Linked DNA regions of Callithrix jacchus. The protein of the gene in region 3 interacts with the protein of the main gene of each other region in a biochemical or structural test. Links are inferred from orthologs where the notes say so. Each region holds a gene or a part of one and is shown on either strand. Other genes may lie near its edges.

Evidence for each region.
Region 1: the proteins of MAPK3 (region 3) and PTPN7 form a complex in vitro, tested with the Homo sapiens proteins (3 studies listed by BioGRID, with this or other methods). The link is inferred for Callithrix jacchus from reciprocal best matches to the Homo sapiens genes MAPK3 and PTPN7.
Region 2: of the proteins of MAPK3 (region 3) and SP1, one has a biochemical effect on the other in vitro, tested with the Homo sapiens proteins (2 studies listed by BioGRID). The link is inferred for Callithrix jacchus from reciprocal best matches to the Homo sapiens genes MAPK3 and SP1.
Region 4: the proteins of MAPK3 (region 3) and PTPRR form a complex in vitro, tested with the Homo sapiens proteins (2 studies listed by BioGRID). The link is inferred for Callithrix jacchus from reciprocal best matches to the Homo sapiens genes MAPK3 and PTPRR.
Region 5: of the proteins of MAPK3 (region 3) and ELK1, one has a biochemical effect on the other in vitro, tested with the Homo sapiens proteins (6 studies listed by BioGRID and IntAct, with this or other methods). The link is inferred for Callithrix jacchus from reciprocal best matches to the Homo sapiens genes MAPK3 and ELK1.
Region 6: of the proteins of MAPK3 (region 3) and MBP, one has a biochemical effect on the other in vitro, tested with the Homo sapiens proteins (5 studies listed by BioGRID). The link is inferred for Callithrix jacchus from reciprocal best matches to the Homo sapiens genes MAPK3 and MBP.
Region 7: of the proteins of MAPK3 (region 3) and DUSP1, one has a biochemical effect on the other in vitro, tested with the Homo sapiens proteins (2 studies listed by BioGRID and IntAct). The link is inferred for Callithrix jacchus from reciprocal best matches to the Homo sapiens genes MAPK3 and DUSP1.

What each region holds. Positions count from the first base shown.
Region 1 is NC_133520.1:29,191,739-29,195,776, forward strand, and holds the start of PTPN7 (tyrosine-protein phosphatase non-receptor type 7), read right to left. Parts: upstream 2,801-4,038; 5' UTR 2,035-2,800; coding exon 1,502-2,034; intron 596-1,501; coding exon 412-595; intron 114-411; coding exon 29-113; intron 1-28. UniProt on the Homo sapiens protein: Protein phosphatase that acts preferentially on tyrosine-phosphorylated MAPK1. Plays a role in the regulation of T and B-lymphocyte development and signal transduction.
Region 2 is NC_133510.1:66,144,082-66,147,581, reverse strand, and holds part of SP1 (transcription factor Sp1), read left to right. Parts: intron 1-1,481; coding exon 1,482-1,681; intron 1,682-2,426; coding exon 2,427-2,740; 3' UTR 2,741-3,500. UniProt on the Homo sapiens protein: Transcription factor that can activate or repress transcription in response to physiological and pathological stimuli.
Region 3 is NC_133513.1:29,405,771-29,409,698, reverse strand, and holds the start of MAPK3 (mitogen-activated protein kinase 3), read right to left. Parts: upstream 2,801-3,928; 5' UTR 2,766-2,800; coding exon 2,587-2,765; intron 1,579-2,586; coding exon 1,396-1,578; intron 1-1,395.
Region 4 is NC_133510.1:73,448,541-73,452,468, forward strand, and holds the start of PTPRR (receptor-type tyrosine-protein phosphatase R), read right to left. Parts: upstream 2,801-3,928; 5' UTR 2,460-2,800; coding exon 2,402-2,459; intron 1-2,401. UniProt on the Homo sapiens protein: Sequesters mitogen-activated protein kinases (MAPKs) such as MAPK1, MAPK3 and MAPK14 in the cytoplasm in an inactive form.
Region 5 is NC_133524.1:48,610,085-48,614,219, reverse strand, and holds the start of ELK1 (ETS domain-containing protein Elk-1), read left to right. Parts: upstream 1-1,335; 5' UTR 1,336-1,490; intron 1,491-4,135. Other genes in the region: protein UXT, read left to right, coding at 34-87. UniProt on the Homo sapiens protein: Transcription factor that binds to purine-rich DNA sequences. Forms a ternary complex with SRF and the ETS and SRF motifs of the serum response element (SRE) on the promoter region of immediate early genes such as FOS and IER2.
Region 6 is NC_133514.1:119,420,668-119,424,167, forward strand, and holds part of MBP (myelin basic protein), read right to left. Parts: intron 768-3,500; coding exon 648-767; intron 1-647. UniProt on the Homo sapiens protein: The classic group of MBP isoforms (isoform 4-isoform 14) are with PLP the most abundant protein components of the myelin membrane in the CNS. They have a role in both its formation and stabilization.
Region 7 is NC_133503.1:65,119,004-65,123,259, forward strand, and holds the start of DUSP1 (dual specificity protein phosphatase 1), read right to left. Parts: upstream 2,801-4,256; 5' UTR 2,561-2,800; coding exon 2,194-2,560; intron 1,917-2,193; coding exon 1,771-1,916; intron 1,408-1,770; coding exon 1,188-1,407; intron 738-1,187; coding exon 367-737; 3' UTR 1-366. UniProt on the Homo sapiens protein: Dual specificity phosphatase that dephosphorylates MAP kinase MAPK1/ERK2 on both 'Thr-183' and 'Tyr-185', regulating its activity during the meiotic cell cycle.

The DNA.
Region 1 (4,038 bases), on a different chromosome or scaffold from region 3:
CTCCCTTCATCCTAGCTGCAGATCTTACTTGGCAAGATGGTCTTGTATCGGTCCTTGGAGGCATGGCCAGGGATGTCCAGGTCTTCGGGGCTGACAAAGTTTGAAGGGATCTTCTGGCAGGGGGAAGAAATGAGTGAGCAGCTGACTCCCCTTCCTAGCCGCCTTTTCTCCTCTTCTATTCTTTTCTAGAACAACTGGGCTCTGGCTGTTCCTTCTTGATATTAATATGTAGGCCTAGATGGGGTGGCTGCAGAAGGCGAAGCCCAGGTGGAGCCCCCTCCCCCAGCCCTAGAGTTCTCTTTCCTAAGGGTCCAAAGAGGAGACAGGCCGACGGTCCCTGTGAGAGAATGGTTCCAGCTGGCTGCCTCTGACACAGAGCAGAGCAATTCAGAAGGGACCTCAATTTCTTACCAAGAATTCTTCTTCCAGCTGCTTGGGGCTGGGTGGCTGGCACTGAAGGGCCCAGCGGGTAAGGGGGTGTCCAGCAGTGCGCAGAAAGTGTAGGGTGACCTCCCGGGGAGTGTTCACGGAGCAGATGGGTTCTACAGCCCCCAGGGACCGGACATCCAGCATCAGAGCCACATTGGAGCCCCGCCTGCAGGCACAGTCCACACTGCCTAGTGAGCACCCAATCGTATTTGTTTTGCTTTTTATCTTTTCTTTTAGGTATAGGGTCTCTCTCTGTTGCCCAGGCTGGAAGGTGATGGCACTATTATGGCTCATAGCAGCCTCAAACTCCTGAACTGAAGCGATCCTCCCACCTCAGCCTCCGGAGTAGCTGGGACCACAGGCACATGCTACTGTGCCTGGCTAATTTAAAATAATTTTTTTTTTTTTTTTTTTTTTTGGTTTTGAACTCCTGGGCTCAAGTGATCCTTCTGCCTTGGCTTCCCAAAGTGCTGGTTACAGGCATGAGCCACTGTGCCTGACCATACTTGCTTTTCTTACAAGTATTACTGTTATGAGGCACCTCTGAGGGGGCCGCTTCTTGTCTTTACTTTAACCTGGAGGCCCAGTGAATTTAGGGTTCAGGCCCCTGCTGTATACATTCCCCCCCGCCCCTTCCTAGCCCAGGCTGGTCTCCAATTCCTGGACTCAAGAGATCCTTCCACCTCAGCCTCTCAAAGTGCTGAGATTTTGGGCATGAGCTACCATGCCGGGCTCAGCCCTGTGTCAGCCAGACAGGGCAGCCTTGAACTCAACTGCTCCTTCCAGCTGCCTGCCTCTTCCCACTCCCAGCCAGGCCCTGTGGCTCTGACGTGCATCCAGCACCAAGAAGGCCACTGGCCTGGCCTGGAATTTAGGGATCAGGCTCAGGGTTGTTAAGAAACTCTGTGCTCCAGACATGCAAAACACATGCAAATGAGCACTACTGGTTTCCTTTGCATACTGGAGTCAACAATTGGACTATGTTGTCAGAGCTGGAGGGGCAGGTGGAGGAAAGGGAGGAAGGGAATGGGGCTCAGGGCCGGGAAGACCCCTCCCCCAGGGGAGATCTTACCTCTCCTGTAGCCGCACATGCTTCTTGGCTGGCGTTTTGGCAGGCAGAGGCTGGGTCATGGCTGCCCCCAAAGAAATGGTCGGTGGCTGGGCTGTGGAGCTCCCTCCACAGGCCTGGACCATGCTGGGGTGGGGTGCTGGGCCCAGGAGAGGCTCACTCAGCCATGAGGTCTGCCTGAAAGACAGGGCCCTCCGCTGCTGTTCCCTGGCCTGCCTGATTGGCCAGAAGGAGGCTTCCACGCCCAGGCCGGCTTTGCGCTCCGTTTTCACTGGGGCATCTCCTGTTTCCCAAGAGGTAGCCTCATGTTCACTACAGGAAGGACAGGATCTCTTTGGTGGGACCCAGGGCAGAAGGCAGTCTGGGGTTAGAGTAACGGCAAGATAAAGGTAGAGATTGTGGATGAAGATAGGAAAGAAGCCAAAAGGAGGAGGAGAGAGAAGAGAGAGGCCACACAGGGCTCTGCGGGTCCAAGTGGAGAAGGCAAGGGAGGAAATGGAAGACATGTGTTCTCTAGGACGGAAGGGAGAAAGCATGCAGAAGCCATCTCGGAGCTAACCAGTGGGCTTTCTCCTCAACAGGGAATGGCAGCTGCAGCAGTGCTGGAGATGGGTGGGCAGCCAGGCAGGCCAGCTCTAGGACCCCGGCAGGGTCCTCTCCTAACTGCTGATGTTCCACTCTTAAGTCCGTTTCTGGCTTCTGGGGTGTCTGTCCAGGGAGGTAGGCTGGGGGTGTTTCCTTCCTCCTCCTGCCCATCCCCCGCCTCCCGCCTCTGTAACCGTCACAGGAAATGGCCTCACCAAGCCCTTGAGCGACAGTGCATGGTGAGGCGACAGCTGGGGGCAAGACAGGGGGCATGCAGATGGTGGGACCATCTCCTCTTGGGGACAGTCTGTATCTCCCAGAGCCAGGGTCACAGCGGGCAAGGTGGTGGGGGTGATTAGTCAGCAAGGCAGGGATGGAGGTAAGGGGACAGGGAGGGTCCGGCGCAGGTGTGGGTGGTAGAAAGAGGGTCTCTGGCAGCAGAAAGGGGGTCTTCAGCCTCCGCTCTCTTTGCAGCTCCCTGTGGCTTCCGTGCTTACCCCCTTCTGGGGGACATCAGGGCTGTGAGCACCCATTCCCCAGCCAGGCCCTGTAGCACCCCACTCGCCCTCCCATACTCCCTCCTGCAGATGCCCCCTTATATCCCTGGAGTTCGCAACCCCCAGGGCCACAGGACTCCCGGTCCCCCTTCAGATACTTACTGAAGCAGCTGTGGCCCCCAGGCTGCCTCTTGCCAGCTGTCTGTCTGTCTGTCAGTCTGTCTTTGAGGGCTGAGAAGGCTTCAGGAAGCCAGCTTCCTCCCTCCGCCCCTCCTTGCTGCCACCCACGCATACCCCAGCTGCATGCTGCCCTCCTGTGCCTGCTGCTGCTGCCACCAGGGGTCGGGTGCCTCCTGCCTCTGCCCTTATGGATCCCAAGGCCCTGTTTCCTGGGAATGGGTGAGGGGCTAGGCCTTTCTACCATCCTGCTTCCCCCGGCTTCCAGACCCTCTCCCGTCCTGCTGTGTTTCTCCTCTGGGTCTTGACCTTGGCCAGAGGCTTTTTCTGCTTCTCTGCCTCTGCCCCACAGCCCTCTCCCTCGAAGCCCTTGCTGCTTCAAGCCTTGGGAATTCATGGCCAAGCACAGACCACATCTTCCCAGAGCAGATGTGACACAGACTTGGGGTGGGGAAAAGGAGGAGGCAAGAATCCATGCCTCACAATGGGAAGGAAAGGCCCCGGCCAGGCCAAAAAGGTCGTCTCCATGCCCTGTGCCACAGCCGGGCTCTCCGTAGGCAGATAGCAGAGTCCACTTGTAGGAGGGAATCTGAGGGGCTTCCCCTGGGCCCCCAATCCCCTGCGGGCCTCCTCCCAGAACCCTGACATCTGCTTGGAAGACTTACAGACAGCAGACAGTCTCTGGCCCTCACAGCAGGGGACTCCCATGTCCTCTTCGCTGCTGGGGTGCCTGGGACCTGAGGGGTGGCCCCCAAGTGCAAGACTCCTCTGCCCCCTGCCCCTGCCTGGCCTTGGCAGGCTCCTTGTGGGCCAGCAGCCCAGCTGGTTCACGCTTGCTGCACGCCTCCTTTTACCTTGTAATATTTCAAACACCCTTCCCTTCCCGGCCCCCAACACGCACAATCCACGTCCTCTTTCTTCCTCCCACTTCCCTGATTCAGCTGTCAAATGGTGACAGCAAAAAAGAAATGAGGTACCATAGGCACAGGGGTAGGCACGCTGGAGGGGGTGATCGGGAGGGGCTGGCTTTCTGCTGGCCCCCTGGGGAGGGCTGGATATGAAGGACAGCAATAACCCTCTGAAACTCAGGAGGCCTCCCAGCACCTGCGCTTGCTCTTGGCAGTGGGGACAGGGGCTGGCTCTTTTCTGAGTCCCTTCATGGCCAGCAGACCCTGGTGCCTTCTTTCCTGCAGCCTGTGCTCCTCTCTGGAGTGGGTGGGTTTCCCTGAGGAGGAGGCGGATTAGGGCTGGGAAAGGGGTTGGCTCCTGTGCTCAGGACAG
Region 2 (3,500 bases), on a different chromosome or scaffold from region 3:
ATTTTTTTATAGCGATGGGGTCTCCCTGTGTTGCCCAGGCTGGTCTCAAATTTCTGGGCTTAAGCAATCCTCCTGCCTCGGCCCCACAAAGTGTTAGGATTACAGGTGTGAGCCACCTTGTTCAGCCTAGAAGCCTTTTTAAAAAGAAACATTGGCTGGGCATGGTGTAATCCCAGCACTTTGGGAGGCCAAGGCGGGCAGATCACCTGAGGTCGGGAGTTCAAGACCAGCCTGACCAACATGGAGAAACCCTGTCTCTACTAAAAATACAAAAGTAGCTGGGTGTGGTGTCATGCGCCTGTAATCCCAGCTACTTAGGAGGCTGAGGCAGGAGAATTGCTTGAACCTGGGAGGCGGAGGTTTTGATGAGCTGAGATCGTGCCATTGCATTCCAGCCTGGGCAACAAAAGTGAAAGTTCATCTCAAAAAAAAAAAAAAAGCCTCTGGCCTGGCACAGTGGCTCACACTTGTAATCTCAGCACTTTGGGAGGCAGAGATGGACGGATTCATCACCTGAGGTCAGGGGTTTGCGATCAGCCTGGCCAACATGGCTAACTTCGTTTCTACTAGAGATACAAAAATTAGTTGGGCCTGGTGGCGTGCACTTGTAGTCCCAGCTACTTGGGATGCTGAGGCCAGATAATCTCTTGAACCTGGGTAGGAGAGGGAGAGGTTGCAGTGAGCTGTGATCATGCTACTGCACTCCAGCCTGGACGACAGAGTGAGACTTCGTCTCAAAAAAAACAAAATAGAATGAACAACAACAAAAAATGAGGCCTTAGCTAAGCGCAGTGGCTCACGCCTGTAATCCCAGCTGTTTGGGAGGCCCAGGTGGGCAGCTCACAAGATCAGGAGATCGAGACCATCCTGGCTAACATGGTGAAACCCCATCTCTACTAAAAATAAAAAAATTAGCCGGCGTGGTGGCCCACGCCTATAGTCCTAGCTACTTGGGAGGCTGAGGCAGGAGAATCACTTGAACCCAGGAGGCAATGTTGCAGTAAGCTGAGATTGTGCCACTGCACTTCAGCTTGGGTGACAGAGAGAGACTCAGTCTCAAAAGCAAAAAAAAGGAAGCCTTTTTCAAAAATAAAAGTTTGGTCACACCTGTAATCCCAGCACTTTGGGAGGCTGAGGCGGGCGGATCACAAGGTCAGGGGTTCGAGACCAGCCTGACCAACATGGTGAAACCCAGTCTCTACTTAAAAATACAAAAATTGGCTGAGTTTGGTGGCACGCCTGTAATCCCAGCTACTTGGGAGGCTGAGGCAGGAGAATTGCTTGAACCCGGGAGGGGGAGTTTGCAGTGAGCCAAGAGGGCACCATTGCACTCTAGCCTGGGTGACAAAGTGAGACTCTGTCTCAAAAAAAAAAAAGTTTGAGTAAGTTTGGTGTAGGTTGGGTAATTGCTGTTGATACTTTGTGGTTCTTTAGTTTCTGTCTTTAGAATGAATGATGAATAGTTGTATTCTTACTTTTAGGGGTTCAGGGGATCCTGGCAAAAAGAAACAGCATATTTGCCACATCCAAGGCTGTGGGAAAGTATATGGCAAGACCTCACACCTGCGGGCACACTTGCGCTGGCATACTGGCGAGAGACCATTTATGTGTACCTGGTCATACTGTGGGAAACGCTTTACCCGTTCGGATGAGCTACAGAGGCACAAACGTACACACACAGGTGAGCAAGAGCCTGTGGGAGAGAAAAATAGTAATAGATCAGAATGAAAAACACAAAATACACTTACAAAATAACTAAAATTTCTTAGCAACTTAATTTGAAACTGAATTATATGGGTCACAAATGGAATTGGAGTTAATCTGGAAAACTTTTAAGAAGGAAGGAGGGCCAGGTGCAGTGGCTCACGCCTGTAATCCCAAGACTTTGGGAGGCCCAGGCGGGTGGATCTCTTAAGGTCAGGAGTTTGATACCAGCCTGGCCAACATGGGGACACCCTATCTCTACTAAAAATACAAAATAGCCAGGCTTGGTGGCGGGCATCTGTAATCCCAGCTACTTGGGAAGCTGAGGCAGGGGAATCAGAAGGCTTAGTTGCAGTGAGCTGAGATTGCCCCACTGCACTCCCACCTGGGTGACAGAGCAAGACTCTGTCTCAAGGAAAAAAAAGGAAGGAGCTAGGTTTTGAGTGGGATTTTGAAGGCGAAGTATTGAAACCATTACTCTTAGTCTCTGCCTTGCCTTACTTTTCTGCTAAGTTCCACCGTCCTTACTGAGTACTCCCTAACCTTTATCTACTTTTCTTCCCTGTCCCCCCAACCAAAAGGAAAAGATACTTCAAGATTTTTCTTGTTTTTAATAATCTTGTCATACTGGCCTTATTCAGCCTAGTAGAGTTTGAAAGCAGTGAATTAGGTAAGGTAATCTCACTTCCTAACATGTCAGCTTCTTTTCTTCCTTTACCTAGGTGAGAAGAAATTTGCCTGCCCTGAGTGTCCTAAGCGCTTCATGAGGAGTGACCATCTGTCAAAACATATCAAGACCCACCAGAATAAGAAGGGAGGCCCAGGTGTAGCCCTGAGTGTGGGCACTTTGCCCCTGGACAGTGGGGCAGGTTCAGAAGGCAGCGGCTCTGCCACTCCTTCAGCCCTTATTACCACCAATATGGTAGCCATGGAGGCCATCTGTCCAGAGGGCATTGCCCGTCTTGCCAACAGTGGCATCAACGTCATGCAGGTGGCGGATCTGCAGTCCATTAATATCAGTGGCAATGGCTTCTGAGATCAGGCACCTGGGGCCAGAGACATATGGGCCATACCCATCAACCCTGGGATGCAAGGTAGCATGGGTCCAAGAGACATGTGGGAAGAGAGAGCCATGAAGCATTAAAATGCATGGTGGTGGGAAGAATTGGGAGAGGGATACAAGAGAAGAGATGGGGTCCTGGCACCCATCTATATCATCAGTGCCTCTTTGAAGGTGGGAAACATTAGTGAAAATTCTGTTGGTGCCACCCTTTGATGAGCATTTGTTTTACCCCAGTTTCTTCTTAAACTTCTTACTCCAGCCTACCCTTCCTGCATTTCTCTTCTCAGCTCTTCCATGATGGATCACCCCCCTGCCCCATTTCCTAAAGCCATCATGCCTTGATAAATATATATGATCATTGAAATACTTTTTAACAAAAAACAGATTCTATATTATTATATATATATAAATATATATATAAAGATATATAGAGATGCATTCACAGGGGTTGGCTGGGAGGAGGAAGAAGACCATTCTGTGACCAAAATACCTTGGTCATTTTTTTTATATTGCCTTATTTCCCTATGGCTGAGCCTTGTTGTGACACATCAGCTTTTCTGTAGATGTTGCCTTGGCTTCTCACCAAATTAAGCATTCATATGCTCTGCTTTTAGTTTATATATACATACATAATGTTTTTCCTTTCATAATTTTGTCTTTATTTGGGATCAGCTTCTTGCACTCCTTTCCTGACTCATCTGTTGCCATCTCACATTCTCATATCTGATCACTT
Region 3 (3,928 bases):
TGTCCCCCAGGCTGGAGTACAGTAGCACAATCACAGCCCACTGCAGCCTCTAACTCCTGAGCTCAAGCCATTCTCCTGCCTCAGCCTCCCAAGTAGCTGGGACTACAATTGTGCACCACCAAACCTGGTTAATTTTTAAATTTTCTGTAGAGATGGGGTCTCACTATGCTGCCCAGGCTGGTCTTGAACTCCTGGTCTCCAGCAATCTTCCAGTCTTGGCCTCCCAAAGTGTTGGGACTACAGACGTGAGCCATTGCTCTCCACCCCTCATCTTTGAAATGGAGCTGAAGGCCGGATGCAGTGGCTCATGCCTGTAATCCCAGCACTTTGGGAGGCCAAGGCGGGTGGATCACAAGGTCAAGAGATTGAGACCATCCTGGTCAACATGTTGAAACCCCGTCTCTACTAAAAATACAAAAATTAGCTGGGCATGGTGGTGCGCACCCGTAGTCCCAGCTACTCGGGAGGCTGAGGCAGGAGAATTGCTTGAACCCAGGAGGCAGAGGTTGCGGTGAGCTGAGATCGTGCCATTGCACTCCAACCTGGGTAACAAGAGTGAAACTCCGTCTCAAAAAAAAAAAAAAAAAAAAAATGGAGCTGAAAAACCCATCTCATAGGATAGCTGGAAGGTGTAATAGCAAAATAAATAAATAAAGCACTGGGCATATATAGTACCTGACCCACAATAGGCCCTCAAGAAAGGTAGTTTTTTTGTTTTTTTTGAGACAGAGTCTTGCTCTGTCACCCAGTCTGGGATGTAATGCCATGATCTTGGCTCACTGTCCACCTCCTGGGTTCAAGTGATTCTCCTACCCCTGCCTCCAGAGTAGCTGGCCCGGCTATATATATTTTTTTTTTCTGTATTTTTAGTAGAGATGGGGTTTTACAATGTTACCATGTTGGCCAGGCTGGTCTCCAACTCCTGACCTCAAGTAATCCACCTGCCTTGGCCTCCCAAAGTGCTGGAATTACAGGCGTGAGCCACTGCACCCGGCTGACAGCTTTCTTTCTCCCTGTCTCCCTTCCAGTCTGGGGAAAGAGAAAAGAGAGAAAAGAATCGTCCATTTGTTATCAAGAAGTGACTGTGGGCTGTGGCCGGGTCATGTCTCAGAACTGCAGATGTCAGAAGACAACACTCCCATAGAGACCATCCTGCCCAGCTCTCCCCCTGGGGCACAGAGCAGAGAACCGACTTGCTCAAGGCCATACTGCCCGGCTGCCACAGGCCTGGATTCATCAGAGGCCTCCAAGTCCTGTTACACTGTGGCCTCTCCTCTGCAGGAAAGTTTATTTTACTGGGTTTTTTTTGGAGGATGGTGGGGAAGATGGAAACAGAAAGCAAGTGATGGTTCCCCAGCCCAGCTCGGAGGCCATGAAGGCCAAGGTGAAGGATACACATCCCTCATGGCTTCCAGGGTGGACGCCCGAAGAATGTCTCGGATGCCGATGACATTCTCATGGCGAAAGCGCAGCAGGATCTGGATCTCCCGGAGCGTGCGCTGGCAGTAGGTCTGATGCTCGAAGGGGCTGATCTTCTTGATGGCCACTCGAGTCTTGCGCACGTGGTCATAGGCCGAGCTGAGGGGACCAGAGAGAGGCTGCTGCTGTGGCCTTACAAAGTGGGAGTCCAGGCCTGGTGGCCCCACCCAGGCCTTGGCAGGGAGGGGAGGGAGCAGGAGCTGGCTCTGGCCAATTCATAAACAATGCTGGTTCCTTCCTGCTGTGGAGGCCTGGGATCTCTAGAGAGAAAGCTGGGGACCAGCCAGGCGCCCCTGCGGTGACTTTACAAACAGAGGAAGAGACTGACCACTCACTGACTTCCCCTCTCCTCAATCCCCTTTCATTCTAGTGGCCCTGAACCCTTCACCCCACTTCCCAGGAAAGGCTCCTTAACCCAAGACAGGTCCAGGGGTGCAGATGCTGGGACCACACCATGGGGCAAACACAGTGGGAAAGCAGCAGCCAGGGAATGGACAGGGCAGGGGAGGGTCCCAGAGTGAGGGGCCCAGGCAGCCAGGCTGTCCCAGAGCACATGGAGGGGCGGGGGGCACTCACAGACCCCTCCCAAAACATGCAGGTGGCACTCCTGGCCCCTTCATCCCTCACTGAGCCCCTGGTGGTGGTGGGAAGGGAGGGCCAAAGCCCTGCCACACCCTGATCTCTGTTCTTCTCCCCCAGGCTTCCAAGCACTGCCTCACAGGGAATCCAAGACACCCTTTCCCCCAGAACGACCCTCCACTGCCCCTTCACTAAGGATGTCGCCTCCCCGAGAGTACTCATCCTCTGGGCCTTGCCCCGTGTCTCTAGGGTCCCGGCAGTCCCCCACATGCACTCAGATGCCCCTCCCGTCATTACGGAGTGCTGGACTCAAAGCTCCAAGCCCCCTCCTCTGAGGACGTAGCAGCGACCCCTCCCCCAGAAAGCATTCAGGGACCCCTCCCTGGGACGCTCCCGATCATCCCGAGTCCCCGGCCTCCTCGGGACGCTCCGCGTCTCCACGTCCTGGAAAGCGCTCGGCGCCTCCCCCTCCTCTCCCGCGAAGCCCCCTCCCCCGAGGGCGCCCCCTCCCCCGGAACGCCCCCTCACCTGACCATGCCGTAAGCGCCCTCGCCGATGTACTGCAGCTGCGTGTAGCGCGGGCCCACGTCGAACGGCTGCCCCTTCACCATTTCCACTTCCCCCGGGACCCCCGGGCCGACCCCCTCGGCTCTCCGGGGCTCCCCGCCCCCGCCCCCCTGAGCCGCCGCCGCCGCCGCCGCCGCCATCTCCACTCCTCCCCTCCCGCCGCCCTCCTCCCCTCAGCGGCCCCGCCCGAGGCCCCGCCCCTTCCCGCCCGCCTGTCACCCGCGGGGCCGCGCGCGCCAGGCCCCGCCCCCGCCCCGCCCCCGCGCGCCCCCGACCCCAGGCGGGCCCGGGGCTGTCACGTGAGCCGCCCTGCGCGCGCCTGCCCTTCCAGCCCTAGGTGCGCGGGCCTTGGATCCCTGCTGGTTCCGTGGCCTCCAGGCCACGGGAAGGCTCAGCAGCGCGGCCTCGGAGATCGTCTTCACCCTCTCCTCGATGATGAAGCGGCCAGCGCGTGACCTCCCAGAGCCAGCCAGCCAATGTGTGCGGGAGCCCACCAGAACCTGGGCCCGGGATCACCCTAGATCAAAAAAATGTTCGAATAAATGAATCAAATTTTACAGATCGGCAATCTGTGAGTTGGGTTAACTAACTTGGGTAAGGTCCCTAGTAATGACAGACGTGAGACTCAAAATGATGTCTTTTGACACAGAGGCTCTTTATAATTCCATGCCTCTCAAAATCCTATACTGTTTTTTTCTTTTAGAGACAGGGTCTCGCTCTGTCGTCCAGGCTGGAGTGTAGTGGTGCAATCATAGCTCACTGCAGCCTCGAGTGATTGGGGTCAAGCGATCCTTCAACCTCAGCCTCCCGAAGAGCCGGGACTACGAGTGGACAACACCATGCCCTGCTAATTAAAAAATTTTGGGGGGTTCCGGCACGGTAGCTCACGCCTATAATCCCAGCACTTTGAGAGGCCGAGTTGGGCGGATAACTTGAGGTCAGGAGTTTCAGACCGGCCTGGCCAACGTGGTGAAACCCGTGTCTACTAAACATACAAAAATTATTGGGGCCTGATGGTGGGCGCCTGTAATCCCAGCTACTCAGTAGGTGGAGGCAGGAGAATTGCTTGAACCCAGGAGGCAGAGGTTGCAGCAGTGAGCCAAGATCGCCCACTGCACTCCAGCCTGGGTGACAAAGCAAGGCGATTCCATCTCAAAAAAAAAGAAAAGAAAATATGTTTTTTTGGTGGGTAGAGACTGGGTCTTGCTATGTTGCCCAGGCTGGTCTGAAACTCTGACTTCAAGGAATCCTCCCACCTTGGCCTCCCAAAGCTCTGGGATCACACCTGTCCATCTCAGACTAT
Region 4 (3,928 bases), on a different chromosome or scaffold from region 3:
AATGGATCAAGTAGCTTTTCAGTTAAAGAGGCCTGAATGTTTAGAAATCATTTCCCTTCTTTAGGAAGTCTGCTTCTGTTCTGAGAGAAAAGTCTTCCATAAAAGTAACAAACTCACATGTTCAACAAGTAGATATATTAGTGATTTCATCATCTTTGTCATCCTACTCACTTATTTTCTAAGTATCCAAACATATAGAAGCTTTGACCAAGAAGCTGTGTTTGTTTCAGTTCTGAAAAGCCCTAACAATGTTATTAGATTACTGTGATAAATTTTAATCTGATGACAGCTTGTGACCCACAAATTGCTGTTTAAAATTAAAATGCATTTAAAATGAAACTGGCAAGAGAACTACAATATTAAACTTGCAATCTGCTGTGATGAAACACCAGTATAAATCACTATATTAAATACAAATACAATTAATTTTATATAGCATCTTGCAATTGAAATATAAAATGCCCTTAAATGCATTGCCTCATTAAATTAAAATTGGTTGATTAATCTTACTTTTTAATCTTTGTTTTGCAAATTAAAAAGTTTAAGTAGAGATAGATTGGATTGGCTTTGGTAATACACCCTTTGGCAGAGCTCCAGGTATAATCTAGGGCTACAGGCTTCTAGGTTTCTCTTTCGATGAGCAAAAGTCCTCTATTTTCCTCATTCCAAATATTCATCTGCAGTAAATTAAGACATGCTTTTCACATGCTTAATTTTATTTATAATGCATAAGGTATAGTTACTCAAGTTGTATTAAATGTGATCTTTAAACTTTTTTATATGTTAGTTTTGAAAAACAACTACACTGATATTGTTGGCAGACCAGCTAATTATTGCTAACTTAGTAAGAATTGAGATTTTTCTGTAATGAATGTTTGTATCAGTTTATTATTCAGCAATACTGTAAATAAAACTCAACCCAATGTATGTGTTTTCATCCCACATTTTAGCATTGAAGAATTGTATGTGGTAATGAAATAATTAAGTACAGTTGTTTGCAAATAATTTAATAATCCAATCATAGCTATTTTTCTGGTTTTCAAAATGTACCAAAGAACTATTGAAAACTCCACAATATAATATCATAATTATAACAAGTAATGTGTGTGTTTAGTAATAGCTGTAATAATCTATGCATTATTTGCTCAAAATATTCATGATGCATTTAAATAATAGCATTAGCTAGAATAAGAAAGTACCATATCTCACTCCCACTAATGCACACAGAGAATAAAATTCACCCACTCTTTTTAAAAAGATGCCACAAGGATTGTAATTTCAGAACAATTATTTTTACTCATTACTTCTAGAACATAGTATACACTCAGCAAATGTTGGTTGAAGAAATGAATGGATATGTGTGATTGGATGAGATGCAAACTCAGGGAAAATGCCTAGTCTCTGGTTGTTACGGGACTACTGCATGGACAACTGCTGTCACAGTAGTGTTTCTAAAATCTCTCTGCCATATTTTATTTTGGTTCATGTGTGTGTGAGACAATGATAAGGAATTCAGCCCAGCAAGTCTCTCCGCATTACATAAAGGTGCTATGTATTCAAAAAGCAGGGACACCACATGTAATATCTCTCAGGTACTTTTCAAGGTTTGCTTCTACACGAGATTTGATATTGATTATGGTGCTTCAAATCTATTTATATTTGGGAGCAGTCTCACTGTTATTCTTGGTTACACCTCTTCAAATCTGTCCTAGGGACTGTGCCTACCCCAGGGTTGTAAGCTTTGGAACTGTGATCCGGTTTTCCCCCCGTTGCGTGCCAGCGGACGCTAGCCATGGTGCTGAAAGAGACAAGAGGATTCTATTTGAAACCTTTCCTTCCTCTTACTGGTTTAGAAAATTCGAGTGACAAGAGCAGGGGCCAAAGGAGCCTGGAGCAGCATCACTAATGTGAACCATGTATTTCGGTCTTTTGGGCGGAGATGTGGTCCATCAGGTTACATGCAATGCCTCCCTGTGAGCGTTCGCTAGACCAAGAGACCTTATGAATGTAGCCGCTGCAGTAGAAAAGGTTACATCCAGCAGGATGCCTAGTCCCTCTTCTGAAAAATTGACATTTAAGTGCATAGCCTAGAAACAAAAGCAGGGAGTCTAGACGGAGGGGAGGAGAAGCGGGGAGCAAACCTGTATTCATATTGAAAATGTTCACTATTTTCACATAAGGTAAAGAATCACATAAGGTAAAGGGCAAATTTTAGCTTAAGTTTTCGGCCTCAGTTTTCCAACAGGTGCACAACTCCCTCACCCCTTCCCTGTCAGGTACTGTCCTGCTTTAACCTTCTTAGAAAGGCTTCCTTTGCAAGGCAAGCTTTTCCTGGAGTCCTAAGCATGTGCAGTTTCCCATCTCATGCACAGCTCCGGCTCTATGCCTGGCAACCCCTTACCTGCAGCATGAAGATTAAGGAGCAGGCACAGCGCAGGGAAGCCGACTGCTCTCCGCATAGTGTGTGCATTGAGAGGTGGAGGAGAAACCCCACCACGACCCCACTTTAGGTAAAGTGCTATTAGAAAGAGACACCGCCAAGGGTCTTCTAGTCTCCGGGATTCATTCGCAGGTCCTCGGATGGGGTTTGCAGATCAGTCAGTCTGTGGCGCCGATAGAAACGAGCACCCGCTTCAACCTCCCTAAGAGAGGAAGAGAGGAAGAGGAAGTAGAGTAGGAGGTTTCGGGGAAAGGGGACAGAAGCATTCAGAGGCGGCAAATGCTTGGCCTTCCCGGGACCCAGCAGCCAAGGCGGAGACGGCAGGGTGGACTCCGCGCCAGCCCAGCAGCGCAGCAGCACGGCAGCCAGTGCAGCGTGAGCAGCAGCCCAGACGCGCTGCGGCTACTGAGCATGCCCAGCGCCGGCCCTCACTAGGCACGGGAGTTTCAAAGTGAAATTCCGCTTCTCCGGGTCTTAGCGGTGGCTTGGAGCAGAGTAGGCTCTACCTCTGGGGTGGGTGGTGGTGGTGGGAGGGGGTGGGGAAAGTGGGAAGTGCAGGGGAGGCGCTTGCCGTGGTTACTAGGGACCCAGAGTCCATCAAAAATCCGAGGGTGGTGTGTGGCAGAGTGAGAGTAAATGGGGGCATGGCCAGAGGAGGGAGTTGATGACAGTGTCAACCGTGCCACCCACCTTACTCTTTACCCAAGTCTTGATTACACGTGGACCTAGCTCACTGCCAGGAATTGGCACGTGCAGATTGACCAGCTTCCCAGGGCTCGCCTACGGGAATAGAGATGTCTTCCACCACTGCTGAGCTTTCTTGCTGCTTGGGGGAAGCGTTCCCAAGGCAGCGTGCTTGGTGTAAGCAGAAACCATGTATCTCGGGGGTGTCTTCGTCCTTCCTACAGCTTCCCCTTCTTCGCTTCTCTTTCCATTCTCTCCAGCTCAATCCCTGCATTTAAACTTTCTTCTGACTCAAGTCTAAAGTATATGATCACAGTGACAGAAAGAAGCGAGGCTGTATTTCTAGACTAGTAGAATGTATCCATGTAATTGAAGCAAAAGAAGGCACTTTTTAGTTTCATGGAACTAATTTTCTTGAGTTTCCCCCTTTAAGGTGAAAGATAATAGATCACTTCAGTGCCTGGGCTCCTTCTACCCAGCTCTGTGTCTCTAGGGAGGCTACCACAGTCTGTCCAATGTAGATGGTTTTTATCCCCACATCTAAGTCTTCGGAGTGTGGAGAGCCTTAGTCATGGCTAATTGCTGCTGGTCAAGAAGTCCCTCCCTAGACTTCTCTCTTTTAACTTCCCAGGGCCACTGCCCTTTCTGCGTCTGTGTCTTCATGGATGCTGTTGCCTCCTTCTTATTTTCCTTCACTTGCATCACAATCACACTTGAGTTTTACAAGGTTTAATGTTGGTGTCACTTTTCCAGAAAGCACTAACTCTAACTAACTCTAGATTACAGTGATCTTTCTCTTCCATA
Region 5 (4,135 bases), on a different chromosome or scaffold from region 3:
GACCCAGTCTTTGATCAGTCTCCTCTTTTTCAGGGGCTTAGAGAACTACAAGGCCTGCAGAATTTCCCAGAGAAGCCTCACCATTGACTTCTTCCCCCTATCGTCAGACATTAAAGAGCCTGAATGCCTTTGAGTCACATGGCATTTCTTTTTCCCCATGAACTCTGCTGGTTGCCACAGGGGCCTGTTACTAGGGCACAAAGTTACAGAGAGACCCCTGAGGTCCATTCTCTCTGTGGAACCTCTAAAATGCCCCAGCAGTCCTGCCTCCAGCCTGTTGCCTGGCAGTATTTGCCAGCTGACCTTATGCACTGCCCTCTCTTCTGTCATCTTGGCAACCTGGGCCCCCATCTCAGCCATTCCTTTTCTTAGACACCACCCTTTGATTTGCCATAGAGAATGAGCCGATTTATGGTGGTTTGTTCATTTTCACAGCAACCAAAGGGCCCTAAGGTTTACCCTTTCACACACCCAGTCGCTCCTCAGGTGCCCTAAATTACACCCACACCCACCTCAGCCCTGCCTTGTCCTAGCCCCTGCTTCTAAGTGGTTCCAGCTTCCAACAGGCAGAGCTGAATCCCGCTCTCCCTAGTCCGACCCCTGTTTTAGGTTGAGTCCAGCCGCCGCCAATCAACGCAGACCCAGGTTCCTCCCCTTTTTAAGTTCGGCCACAGTTCAGCCCTGCCCTCTGAAGACATTTCGTTTCTGCCACTCAATACTCCGTGTGCCTGACAGCCATCCTGCCCTCCTACCTCCGTTGTGTTCTAAATTCGTCTTCTACCCAGCTCTAGGGTCCTTTCTAACCATAGAGGTACACTGTCCGCCTACGCACAGCCCAGCCCAGCCCGACCCACTCCTGCCGGCTGCTACGCCCATTTCTATACAAGTCCTGCTTCCGCTGGGCAGCGTGGCGTGCGGCACCGCCCCCTTGGTGTTTTGGCAGGGGTCTAGAGTCCCTCATCCGCCAATCAGAGGAAAACAGGGCCACCCACCCCCGTCCTTGGAGGCTGTCTTCCATCAATCCCATGTAAGCCAATCAGTGTGAGGCAGTCCCCTCCGCGCCCCCCCACACACCCCCCCCAGCCTTATCAGTTGCTCACAGTCCGTCAGTCCTTGAGCCAATCGCCGTGGAGCACCAGGAAGGCGGAACAAGCCTCCTCGGGACTCCAGGGGCCGTGAGCATTCCATCATTTCCCCTTAGGCCAATCACAGCACAGCTCCGTGGGGAAGGTCCAGTCCCCCAGCCCCTCTAGGCCGTGTGGCCGATTAATAGCGCTTTGGCCAATCAGCGAGCGGCGGGACACTGGACTCCTCCTCCCCGTGCCCACGTGAGCCGTAGGGAAACGCAGGGGCGGCTTCTAGGTGCTGTCGCCGCCGCCACCGCCGCCGCCGCCTCGGAACCCAGGCCTGGGGGGCGGTGGGGCCGCGTATGGAGCCCCCGCCCCCCGGAGCTACCAACATTGCCAACGCCACCGCCACGCTACACACAGGTGAGCTCTGGGCTTGGAGGGTGGAGGGCCCGGTCCGTGACCCCACGTATCCTTCCCGCCCCCGCTCAGAGGATGTGGCTTGGCCGGTGGCCTGCTGGTGTTCGACTCCCCGCCGCCACCACCACCACCACCACGGCTGGTGGACCTGCTTGTGGCATTGCCCACGCCCTTCGCCCCTTGTAGTGGATCTGACCGTGGCCTAACCTCCCCCTCCCGTTGTATAATGGATCGGTCTGCGTGCTTATATTTTTTCCCACGCCAACTTAGGATGGACTCGTCCATAGGCTTTCCCCCTACCCCCACGCACCCCCCATCCACCCACACTTATAGGGAGCCCGCCTGTGGCAGTGTTCAGTCCCCTTAATAGTAGGTGTATCTGAGTGTTTGCATTTCTCCTAGCCTCAACTTTCAGGGGAAGACCCGTCCGTGGCCTTGTTTATTCTTCCCCTCCTGTTCATTGTAGCGAATCAATTCGTGGCGCCGCACCCCTCCACACACATCCCTCTTTAACAGTGGGTCTATCAGAGTTTGTATTCCTGCCTCCTCCAGTCCCCCAATGCATCAGTCCATGGCTTTTTTCAGAAACCCGCCACACACACACACACACACACACACACACCATCACCATCACCACCACCACCACCATTTTATAGTGGATCAGTCTTCATGTTTGGATTCACATCCCCTTAGCTATCAGTCCATTGCCCTATCTGTCCTCCCTTTTTCGTAGACTGTCACTGTAGCGCTTGGGCTTCTCTCTTCTTTTTAATAGTGAGTCAGTCAAGTGCTTTATATTTCCCTATTTTCAGTAGCTCAGTCCATAGCCTTGTCCCTCTCTGCTTTGAATCAGTCTGTGTGATGGCTTTTCTCTCCCCTCACTGTGGTGTGGTGCAGGAGTCTGTAAGGTTTTCTGCTCTCCTTCCCCTCAGATGTTGAGCCTCATCCCCCCTCCATTTTCAGTGGATCTGTTCATTGGCCTTCCTCCCCCACACCCCAGTATGCTTGCACAGTCCCCCGCATACCCTCCCCTGAGTCCAGTGCTTTGTAATTGGAGGAAGGTCTGCCGTGTACTTTGAATTTCCTTCTTTTTTTTCCCTTCCCAGAGGAGAACGTGCTGATCCTCTTTTCCTTGTGGTGGAGAAATGTATGGCCTTTCTTGTCCCCCACCTCTTAATATAGTGGGTCAGCCTGATCACACTTGTAACCACAAAGACGTTCTGCCTCACTACAATAAGTAAACACATTAGCGCCAGTGATGATTGTAATGCCAATAGGAGCTAGCGTTTATTAAGCACCTGCTGGGTATCAGAGTGTGTCATATGAATGAGTTTCTTTAATCCTCACCACAACCCCATGAGGTAGGTACTGAGGGAGCCGGGCCATAGGGAGGTTAAATTCCTTACTCAGAGGTGGCCCAGGAAGTACTCAGGGCACAGGATAATTTTTGAGGCTCCCCTCTTAGACCCCATCCCACCCCACGTGAGGCCTCGGTCCTTAAAAACCAAATTGGTTCCCATCTCCAAGCTTTTGTTCTTGCTGTTCCCTCTGCCTGCAGAGCTGTCTCCATTACCCACCTTGTCTCAGCACCCACCCACCCCCCAATCCCAGCAGCTCTGTGACCTTAGATGAGTGATTTAGCCACTTCCTCTCTGCACCTTTTTCTTCATTTGTGAAATGGGGGATCAGAACTAGAATCCCCTCCAGTGTAAATAAATATTACCTGTGAAATAATGGTAAAACAAGTAACCTTTTTAGCATTACTGCCTATACCTCCCCACCCCCTGACTGTGCTCCAACCACACTGCCTCCACTGCACAGCTCCTGAAACAGCAGCCATGGACCAGCCTCAGGCCCTTTGCATTGGCTGTTCTTTGTGCCTTGTATACCACTCCCAGATCTCTGCATGATTCCTTTCAGCACTTTGTTCAAATACCAGCCACCAAAAGTTTACCACACTGTGGTGCAGGGAATGCAAATACAAAAAGATAACATGTATCAAAGATGTTTCTAAGAATGCTCGTTTGTATATGAACAAGGATTTTCCTCCTTTTCGAAAGGCTGTGTTTACAAAACTGTGAGGTATGTAATAGGCTCTGTAATGGCACGGTATAAAAGCTGTTTCTAGGAGTGCTAGTTGCATATGTGAATAAGGACTGTGTTGCATTGAAAGAATGTGTTCACAAAACTGTGGTGTGTAGCCGGGCATGGGGGTGTGCACCTGTAGTGCCAGCTACTTGGACTGTAGCTGAGGTGGAAGGATCGCTGGAGCCCAGGAGTTCGAGGCCAGCCTGGGCAAAACAAAATCACTGTGGTGTGCGTAATACACTCTCCTAAAGGCACAGGCATAAAAGATGTTTCTAAGAGTAATCACTCTTTTTGTTGCACCTGGGTAGTGTTAGTTCAGTAAAGATTGATTGTCACACCATGGTGCTTGGAAAATACTATACAAAGGCACATGTATTACAAAAACAGTTCCTAACAATGCTGCTTGTAAAAACAAAAAAAAAAATCAACCCCTCCCTTACCATCTGAAGCTGCACACCCAGGAGGGCTCAAGCCAGGTCCCTGCTTTGTCCCTTTATCACTGTGACACACTGTGTGGGTTTCTTGTTTGTGTCTGTCTCTCCGCATTAGAATGTGAGTCC
Region 6 (3,500 bases), on a different chromosome or scaffold from region 3:
TTCTGGGTGATGCTTAACAATAATAATGGTGACTGCTTATCTAAGGAACCCGTGTTTGTCACCACCTTTTACTTTCCCAGTGATTCTGTGAGCTGAGTGGGCGTGTTACCTCCATTTTACAGATGAGAGGACCGAGTCTCAGAGGTGGCTAACAGCAGACCTGGCCTTCGTCCTGGGTATGGTGGCTCCAGGTCCTCATAAGCCGATGGGACACTCTCCACTCCCTGCTGTCTCTTTGGCGTCCCCTCCCGTGGCTCTAGGGATCTCCCCTGACACCCACGTCTGCTTGGCTCCTGCTTGCTCCTGAGGGCCCAAGCCCTGGGCAACGCAAACTGCAGTCCACCTGGGCCCCAGCCCTGTCCCAGAGTCAACGTCAGCCGCCTGCTCCGGCTCCTGAACCGGCCCAGGTGCAGCCCTTCCTCAAGCACCTGCAGCTCCACATGCATCTCGGGGAAAACCTGCGTGCAAATGCAGATGGGCACTGCCACCTGCGCCCTGGCATGCCTGCTGGGACAGAGTATGCCCAGGGCATGGTGCAGCGCGGCTGAGTCAGAAGCAGCCACCACCCTTGTGCTCAGCTCAGCTGGCGTTCGTTGCTGGGACCCCCTCAGTCCCTGCTCAGTGACGCTGAGCAGAGGGTATCTTACCAGCTTAAAAATTTTGGAAAGCGTGCCCTGGGCATCGACTCCCTTGAATCCCTTGTGAGCCGATTTATAGTCGGACGCTCTGCCTCCGTAGCCAAATCCTGGTCTCTGCCCTTCGGCCCCCTGCAAAGAAAGACCACAGAGCTCAGCCTCTACCCCAGGTGCAAGGCAGTCTGCTTGAGCCACTGAGAGCTGCCACCAGGGGCCCGGGGAAGGGCCCAGGCCCCGGACTGGGCTGGTGAGTGGTTCAGGAGCCACAGGCCAGCCCTGAGCTGGGGGGCGGGGCGGGAGAGGCGGCTCCCCGGACCTACCAGGGTGTTAGCCGCAGAGAGAGGAGGGCTGTGGCTTGGGTAGAGGCTCTCGTGGCTCTCTCACGTGGCTCTCTCACGTGGCTCCCACACACATAGTTAAGGATCTACATCGTTCAGGGAACAGTGGCTTACCTTTGCGCTGTGGGGTGGTCAAGAGAAGATTAGCAAACATGAAGCAAATCAAGGTAAGGAGGCTCCTGCCTACCCGTGTTTGGAGGACTCCCACCTGGGGGCTGTGCCGGGTGTGGGGCCCGTCCCGGAGGCCCCTGGAGGGCCCAGGGCCTTTCCTCAGGGCTCCTCGCTGATAAGATTTGCACAGACTGGATTCTGGTCACATGGACCCTGCAGTTCTAGGATCGATTATCTGGGGGATCAGGAATCCCTGGCCTTAGTAAAATGTGGAGGCTCGTATCTTTTCTAGAGTTTAGAGACAAAATCCTGAGCTTTCTCCCAGGCGTGAGCAGGAATCAGCCTCCCTGGGCCGTGGCTTGCACTGGGAGCAAGGCCCCTGACGGGAGCCTGGAGCTGCTGAGCGGGACAGAGGGAGGAGGCAAGACAGAGGGAGGAGGCAGGCCTGGCCGGCGCGGGGCATGGGGATGAGGGTGCAGCGTCTCAGCTCCCCAGCCTCCCAGTCTCCTAGCACCTTTCTAGCTCCTCCAGCTGTGTGACCTTGGGCAGGGGCAGGAACCTCTCTGAGCTTCAGTTTCCTCATCTGTACAATGAAGTTGTGTGAGAACACGATGAAGAATGCATGGCGATGTCACTCCCCAGGTGGGGGCTGCCAGCTCTGGACTGTGGTGCCCTCTGTGGTTTACGGATGATCAGGCTGCCCTGCCCTGGCCTCGTCAGCCCCAGCAGCCCCTCTGGCTTCCTCATGGGCCGTGTGACTGAGGGGCTTCCTGACACACACGGGCGTGAGTGCTCTGGGACTAGCCCCTTCCTACTGTGCTGTCTTCTCAAGTGGGAAGTCCACCGCTTGCTGTGGGGTCTGGGAGCGCGGGATGTTAGCCACTGGGGTGACGTGTCCTCCCTCGGTGGCTGCACTGTCTGTGGGAAGGCTGACCGTGCTGTTGGCTTTTCAGGGTGGGATCTCAGGGGGCCTTGTGAATCTACTCAATGGTCAGGGTCCCAGACTCACTCTGCGTTTTGCCAACAAGATGTGGGAGCCTGTCCTAGAGCCCTGAAGACTTTGTGGAAGCCGAACCAAACCATCTCCCCTGCACCTGCCTGCAGCCTGTTTCCACGTCATTAAAATGTGTTAGGACAGGGAGGACCCTGACCAACCTAGCCCCCCTCTAATTCAGAGGGCTCGAGGCTTCCAGAGCAGTAGGCTGGCGCCCAGAACCTCTACTGGGTGCCTCCCGCTGTACAAGTACTTCCAGTTTTCATTTAACCTGTGCTTAGGAGCAAGCACGGTCACTCAGAACCCAGGCAGCTGCTTCTGTGTGAACGGCTGATTTAGGGGCTACCCCGTGACGTGAGGGACAGAGGGTGTGTGGCAAGAAGGTCTAAGCACACGCATGCGGGGACAGCCAGCCTTGCCTTTGCGTCCTGGAGGTTTCCAGGGTCGCGGGCACCCTGATGGCAGGGGGCGTGGGAGGCCAGGCTGGTGGTCCCAGCCACATGGCAGAACGCCACTTCCCCAGCACATGCTCCGTCATTCTGTCTCACTCTATGGCTTTTCTCCAGAAATGGTTTTTGAGAACTAAATCTGGGGACTGACTTTCAGATTAAGAATCTGCCTGGCCTTTCCTCCTTTCAAATCCTTAGTCACGTTTATCTTTGGGCAACCTAGAACGTTCCAGGACACACACACACAGTTTAGAAAGAGAAAGTGGGGCTTTCTGCAACTCCAGACAGGATAGGGTCCTGCAGCGCTGGGGACAGCCAAGCAGATGAAAGGCAGAGAAGGGTTTTGCTTGGAAAAAAGAAAAATTCAAGAAACATTAGTAGGACCCAAAAAGGAGAGATGCAGAGAGGATTGCAGGGGGTTTCTCATTAGCTGCGGGGCGGAACGGCCTGTGTGCGGTCCCCAGCGCTCCACATTCAGGGAGGATTCTGCGTGCGCCCCAAAGTCCACGCCTAGAAAATTAAGAGCAGATAAAGCGGTAGCTAAAGTGAGATTTCTGGGCCAGAAATGAATTTCATTCTTCAGTGTCATCTGTCTCCTGCTGGCACAGAGAATAAACAATTAATTGGCTGTGAGTCCTGGCCCGTGTACATTTCTACATGACTGCCGTCGTCTGGCAAATTCCTTATGTCAGAAAACGCAAGTCAAGTATGCATGAATATGAGACGTTTCAGGAAACATCTTAGCTCATGATTCAGCGTAATAAAGTGTGGGACTAACACGGGGTCCGCGTGGAATCCTTTCTCCGCCATTCTCTCAAGTGCTGCTTCCCCTCCTCCCTCTTTCCCACTTTCTTTCTCTTTTCTGTTCCTGTTCTTCCTTCCTGTTCTTTCTCTTGTTGTCTTTTAAAGTGTATTCGTTCATTTATATGACGCTTATTAACTGAGCAGTAAGTGTAGGTGGGTTCTGTTCTAG
Region 7 (4,256 bases), on a different chromosome or scaffold from region 3:
ATTCTCATATGTGTATGTGTTGTCGGGAATGATAATACTGGTAGGTATGTCAAGCATGAAGAGATTCTACAAAAACCGGGGCAAGCAAAAAGAAACTGGCTCACACACTGAGTCCTTTCTCTTCTGCCCCATTTTGTCAGAGGGACTTGATGTACCCACTACATATTGGTCCCGAATGCTGAGTTCAGCAAATGTCTTGACGCTAAGTCATCAGGACGACTGGTTAGGAACCCAGGAGAACTCGAGTGAAATTAAATAAATAAGGACCAGCTCTCTCGAGCCCCTCCCAGAGTTATTGCATTTCTCCTCTCAAGAAGGAGCCTGGAGTCCCGGTGGGATGTGAAGAGCCTCACCTCCCGTGGCCTTTCAGCAGCTGGGAGAGGTCGTGATGGGGCTCTGCAGGTAGCTCAGCGCACTGTTCGTGGAGTGGACAGGGATGGAGACAGGGAAGTTGAAGACGGTGGTGGTGGAGGTGCCTCGGTCCAGCACAGCCATGGCAGGGCTCCCAGCCTCTGCCGAGCAGTGTGGGGCCAGCACCTGGGACTCAAACTGCAGCAGCTGGCCCATGAAGCTGAAGTTGGGGGAGATGATGCTTCGCCTCTGCTTCACAAACTCAAAGGCCTCATCCAGCTTGACTCGGTTAGTCCTCATGAGGTAAGCGAGGCAGATGGTGGCTGATCGGGAAATACCTGCCTGGCAATGGACAAACACCCTTCCTCCAGCATTCTTGACGGAGTCTGGAAAACAAAAGGAGCAGCTAGTTACTTGAGAGCTCAGGAGAACCACCCCAAGCCCAGGTACAGGGTGTCTGAGAAAAGTCATGGGTGTCTTATCTAGAAATGGTCACTATCACCACATGCCATCACATGGATACTGCTCATGGAGCAAGGCAATGTGGGTGCCATGCAAAGGGTGGCACAGGATTTAAACCCAGACTGGGAGTTTCCACTCAGCAGATAGATCTCGGACCAGTCAATTCAACTTTGTGAGCCCCAGTTTGCTAATCTGTAAAGTGGGACATCAAATCAAATTCATATTTTGCAGGAATGTTGCCCACACTAGACAGATACTGAATGTGTGGAAGAAGGCTCAGAAGACTTCATTCAAGTCCTTGCTACAGAGGATGGGCTTAGGGGCTAAAATGAGAAGAGAGAGGCAGAAAAGCCCCAGGCATCAATTCCATTTACCTATGAAGTCAATGGCCTCATTGAACCAGGAGCTGATGTCCGCCTTGTGGTTGTCCTCCACAGGGATACTCTTGTACTGGTAGTGACCCTCAAAATGGTTGGGACAATTGGCTGAGACGTTGATCAAGGCAGTGATGCCCAAGGCATCCAGCATGTCCTTGCGGGAAGCATGGTAGGCACTGCCCAGGTACAGAAAGGGCAGGATCTCCACCGGTCCACCCTGAAATCCAGAAATATCCAACCTTCGTCAGCTTGCTCAAAGCCAAGGCCAGTGCCCACACCCACAAAAACTTCCTGCTGGAGAAGTCAATTTCAGATACCAGGTGAACTCAGTTCTTTTGCTGGAGGATAAATAAATAGAGGTCTAAGCCCATTTGCCTGGGCAGGACCAGCAAGTTCATTTCTGTAGAGCCTACAATTAGAGACTCGGCTTCATCAGACCACTTAACTGTGGAATAAATCATATCCCTGTGTCCCCTCTTATAAATAAAGCTGTAGGTCACTTTCTATATTCTCCCTGGCACTGCTCTTCCATGTCTTTGCCAGTTCTTACTTCTCCCCTGTGGCAGGGGCGCCTACTAACCTGATCGTAGAGTGGAGTACTGCAGGAACTGCACCCAGATTCCGCGCTGTCAGGGACGCTAGTACTCAGGGGAAGGCTGAGCCCCATGGGGGTCGACTGTTTGCTGCACAGCTCCGGGCAGGAAGCTGAAAACGCTTCGTATCCTCCTGGGAATACAAAGGCATTTTTTTCCATTAGTGTCGCCGGGACTGGGCACCTTCATACAAACTCCCCCACCCACCAAGGGCTGGAAGTTTACATCCGAAAGGCCCAGGCAAGTCTTTGTTCCCAGAGCCAAACAAAGCCAATGACAAGTTCCAGAGATAAATGTATTCCAACGCCCACGCGCTGCAGACGGGGCGGGCCCCCAGGAGCCGAGGGCCAGGGGTACCGGGCAAAACCTCAGGGGTATACGGCCCGCCCAGAGCTTCCCCGAGGGCGTACCTTTGAGGAAGAAGACCTTCGCGGCGCGCGCCTCACGGCAAAGCGCGCCGGCCGCCAGGGCCAGGGTGCCGTCGCGCTTGGCGCCGTCCAAGGCGGCGCTGCGCTCGTCCAGCAACACCACGGCTTGGTAAGCACCGGCCAGCAGGCGGCCGCGCAGCTCGGCGTTGGGCACGATGTGCTCCAGGCCCATGGCGCCCTTGGCCCGGCGCCGCACGATGGTGCTGAAGCGCACGTTGACCGAGCCGGCGATGTGGCCGGCGTTGAAAGCGAAGAAGGAGCGGCAGTCCAGCAGCAGGCACTGCGCCGCGCGCTCCCCCAGCAGCGCCCGCAGGCCTCCGGCGTCCAGGGTGCCCACTTCCATGACCATGGCCGGCTTCAGCGCCCCCAGTGTGCTCGACCCTGCGGTGCTCTTTGTCCTCGGGGCCAAGGGCAGGGCGGCGGCTTTCGAGGAAAAGCTCGACACCGCCCCCCGGGTCTCTCTGCGCGGAACCAAAAGCCGCTTTTGGACTGAGAGGGGCGTCACGCAGGACTCAGGGTTCCTCGGCTTCTTAGCGGCCCCGACTGCCCCTCCGATCAGCGTCGCGCACACAGCCCGAACGTCCTTCACAGCTAGCCAGAGTGGGAAAGCGCCTTTATAAGCGGCCTCTCGGGGGGCGGGGCGGACCGGGCGGGCGCGCAGGGGGAGGGGGTGTTTGTTTGAATGGTGATCACGTGATAGAGTGGTGACGTCACCCGCCCTGCCCGGCCTGGCGCCGCCGAGCCAGAGGCGAAGACGTCATCAGCCTCGGAGCCGGGTCCGCTCGCCGCGCACTGGCTCGCGGCCCGGCCCCCGCCCTGCTCCTGGCGCGTCCCCTGGGACCTGGTCCGCGCCGCGCTCGGGGCCCAGCGGGGCGGAGGAGAGCTTGCTGCCAGCTGAGGCTGACCTCCGGGATGCGAGCGGCCCGGAGAGGGGGCGACATGCCACCTGCCTCGGCATCGCCGCTCCCCGGACACCTCCCTCCCCGAGTCCCCTTCCCAGCGCCCCTCGGCCGCCGACCTAGCCGAAAGGGGCTTCCTGCACTTTTGCATAGTCTTGTGCCCCTTTCTCTTATTTCCTCATCACTAACGAGCGAGGAAACAGGTTCCCCGGGCGAAGCGACGGACTTGCCCAGAACCACACTGCTGGGGTGGTGGTAGGAGCAGCAAAGAGGCGCCTAAGATGAAGTTTATAGAAAAATGAACAACTCTGCCGATAGAAAAGTCGTTCCTACCAAGAGCGACCTGAGCGAGTTGGGGTGGAGAGGTTCAGGGCAATGCTTTCCTGTTTCCCAGACTTTCTTTAAGGTGGCTTTAAAATACCTACGTTTGCCGTGAAAATGCAAGCAAGCAAACCCCCACCGGGAAATAATTACTAGTCTTGTGGCCCCCGGAAGACTTGGAGCCGAAGAAGGCAGGTCAGGGGGCTGGAATCCCGGTGGGGGTCGCAAGGCCCTGCGGTGGGTTCCGGGTTTTGGCGTATTGAGGGGTGAGGGGCGACCCGCAGCGCGACTCGACGGCTCCCCCCAGGGGCCGTCCGACGCGTTTCTGTCACCTTGGCTCAAGACCGAGCTTCTCCATCCCTTTCTTTATTCCACAAATATACAGTATACTGAGTGAGCGCCCACTAAGCTGGCGGGGGGGGGGCTCCAATCCGGAACAGAAGCCGCCCCTCCTCCCCCCGCTCCCGGTCGTCGCGGCCGTTACTGGCTGAAAGCAAACTCCAATCCCGGGCCGTTCTGGGCGGAAGACAGGACCTGGATCGCAACGGTTGGGAAGACCCCACACAGCAATATCCGTGCCCTGAGTCCCAGTGACGGCCCCCTGGACAGCGGGGCCTGCTGCAGCGACGCGACGCGCTAGGTACACAAACATAAACATTGCGCCACCCGCCCGGGTGCCGAGTCAGGAACATTCTGCGGTTTCCTCCCCTCCTGGGGGAGGGGAATTCGCCGGCCACCCTCTGTCGTCGCTGTGCGAGTTGTATCACCACAGGCAACTTCTGCATTTGTCTCGCTTAGCCTGTGTGCTTTCCGCCTGCTCAAATG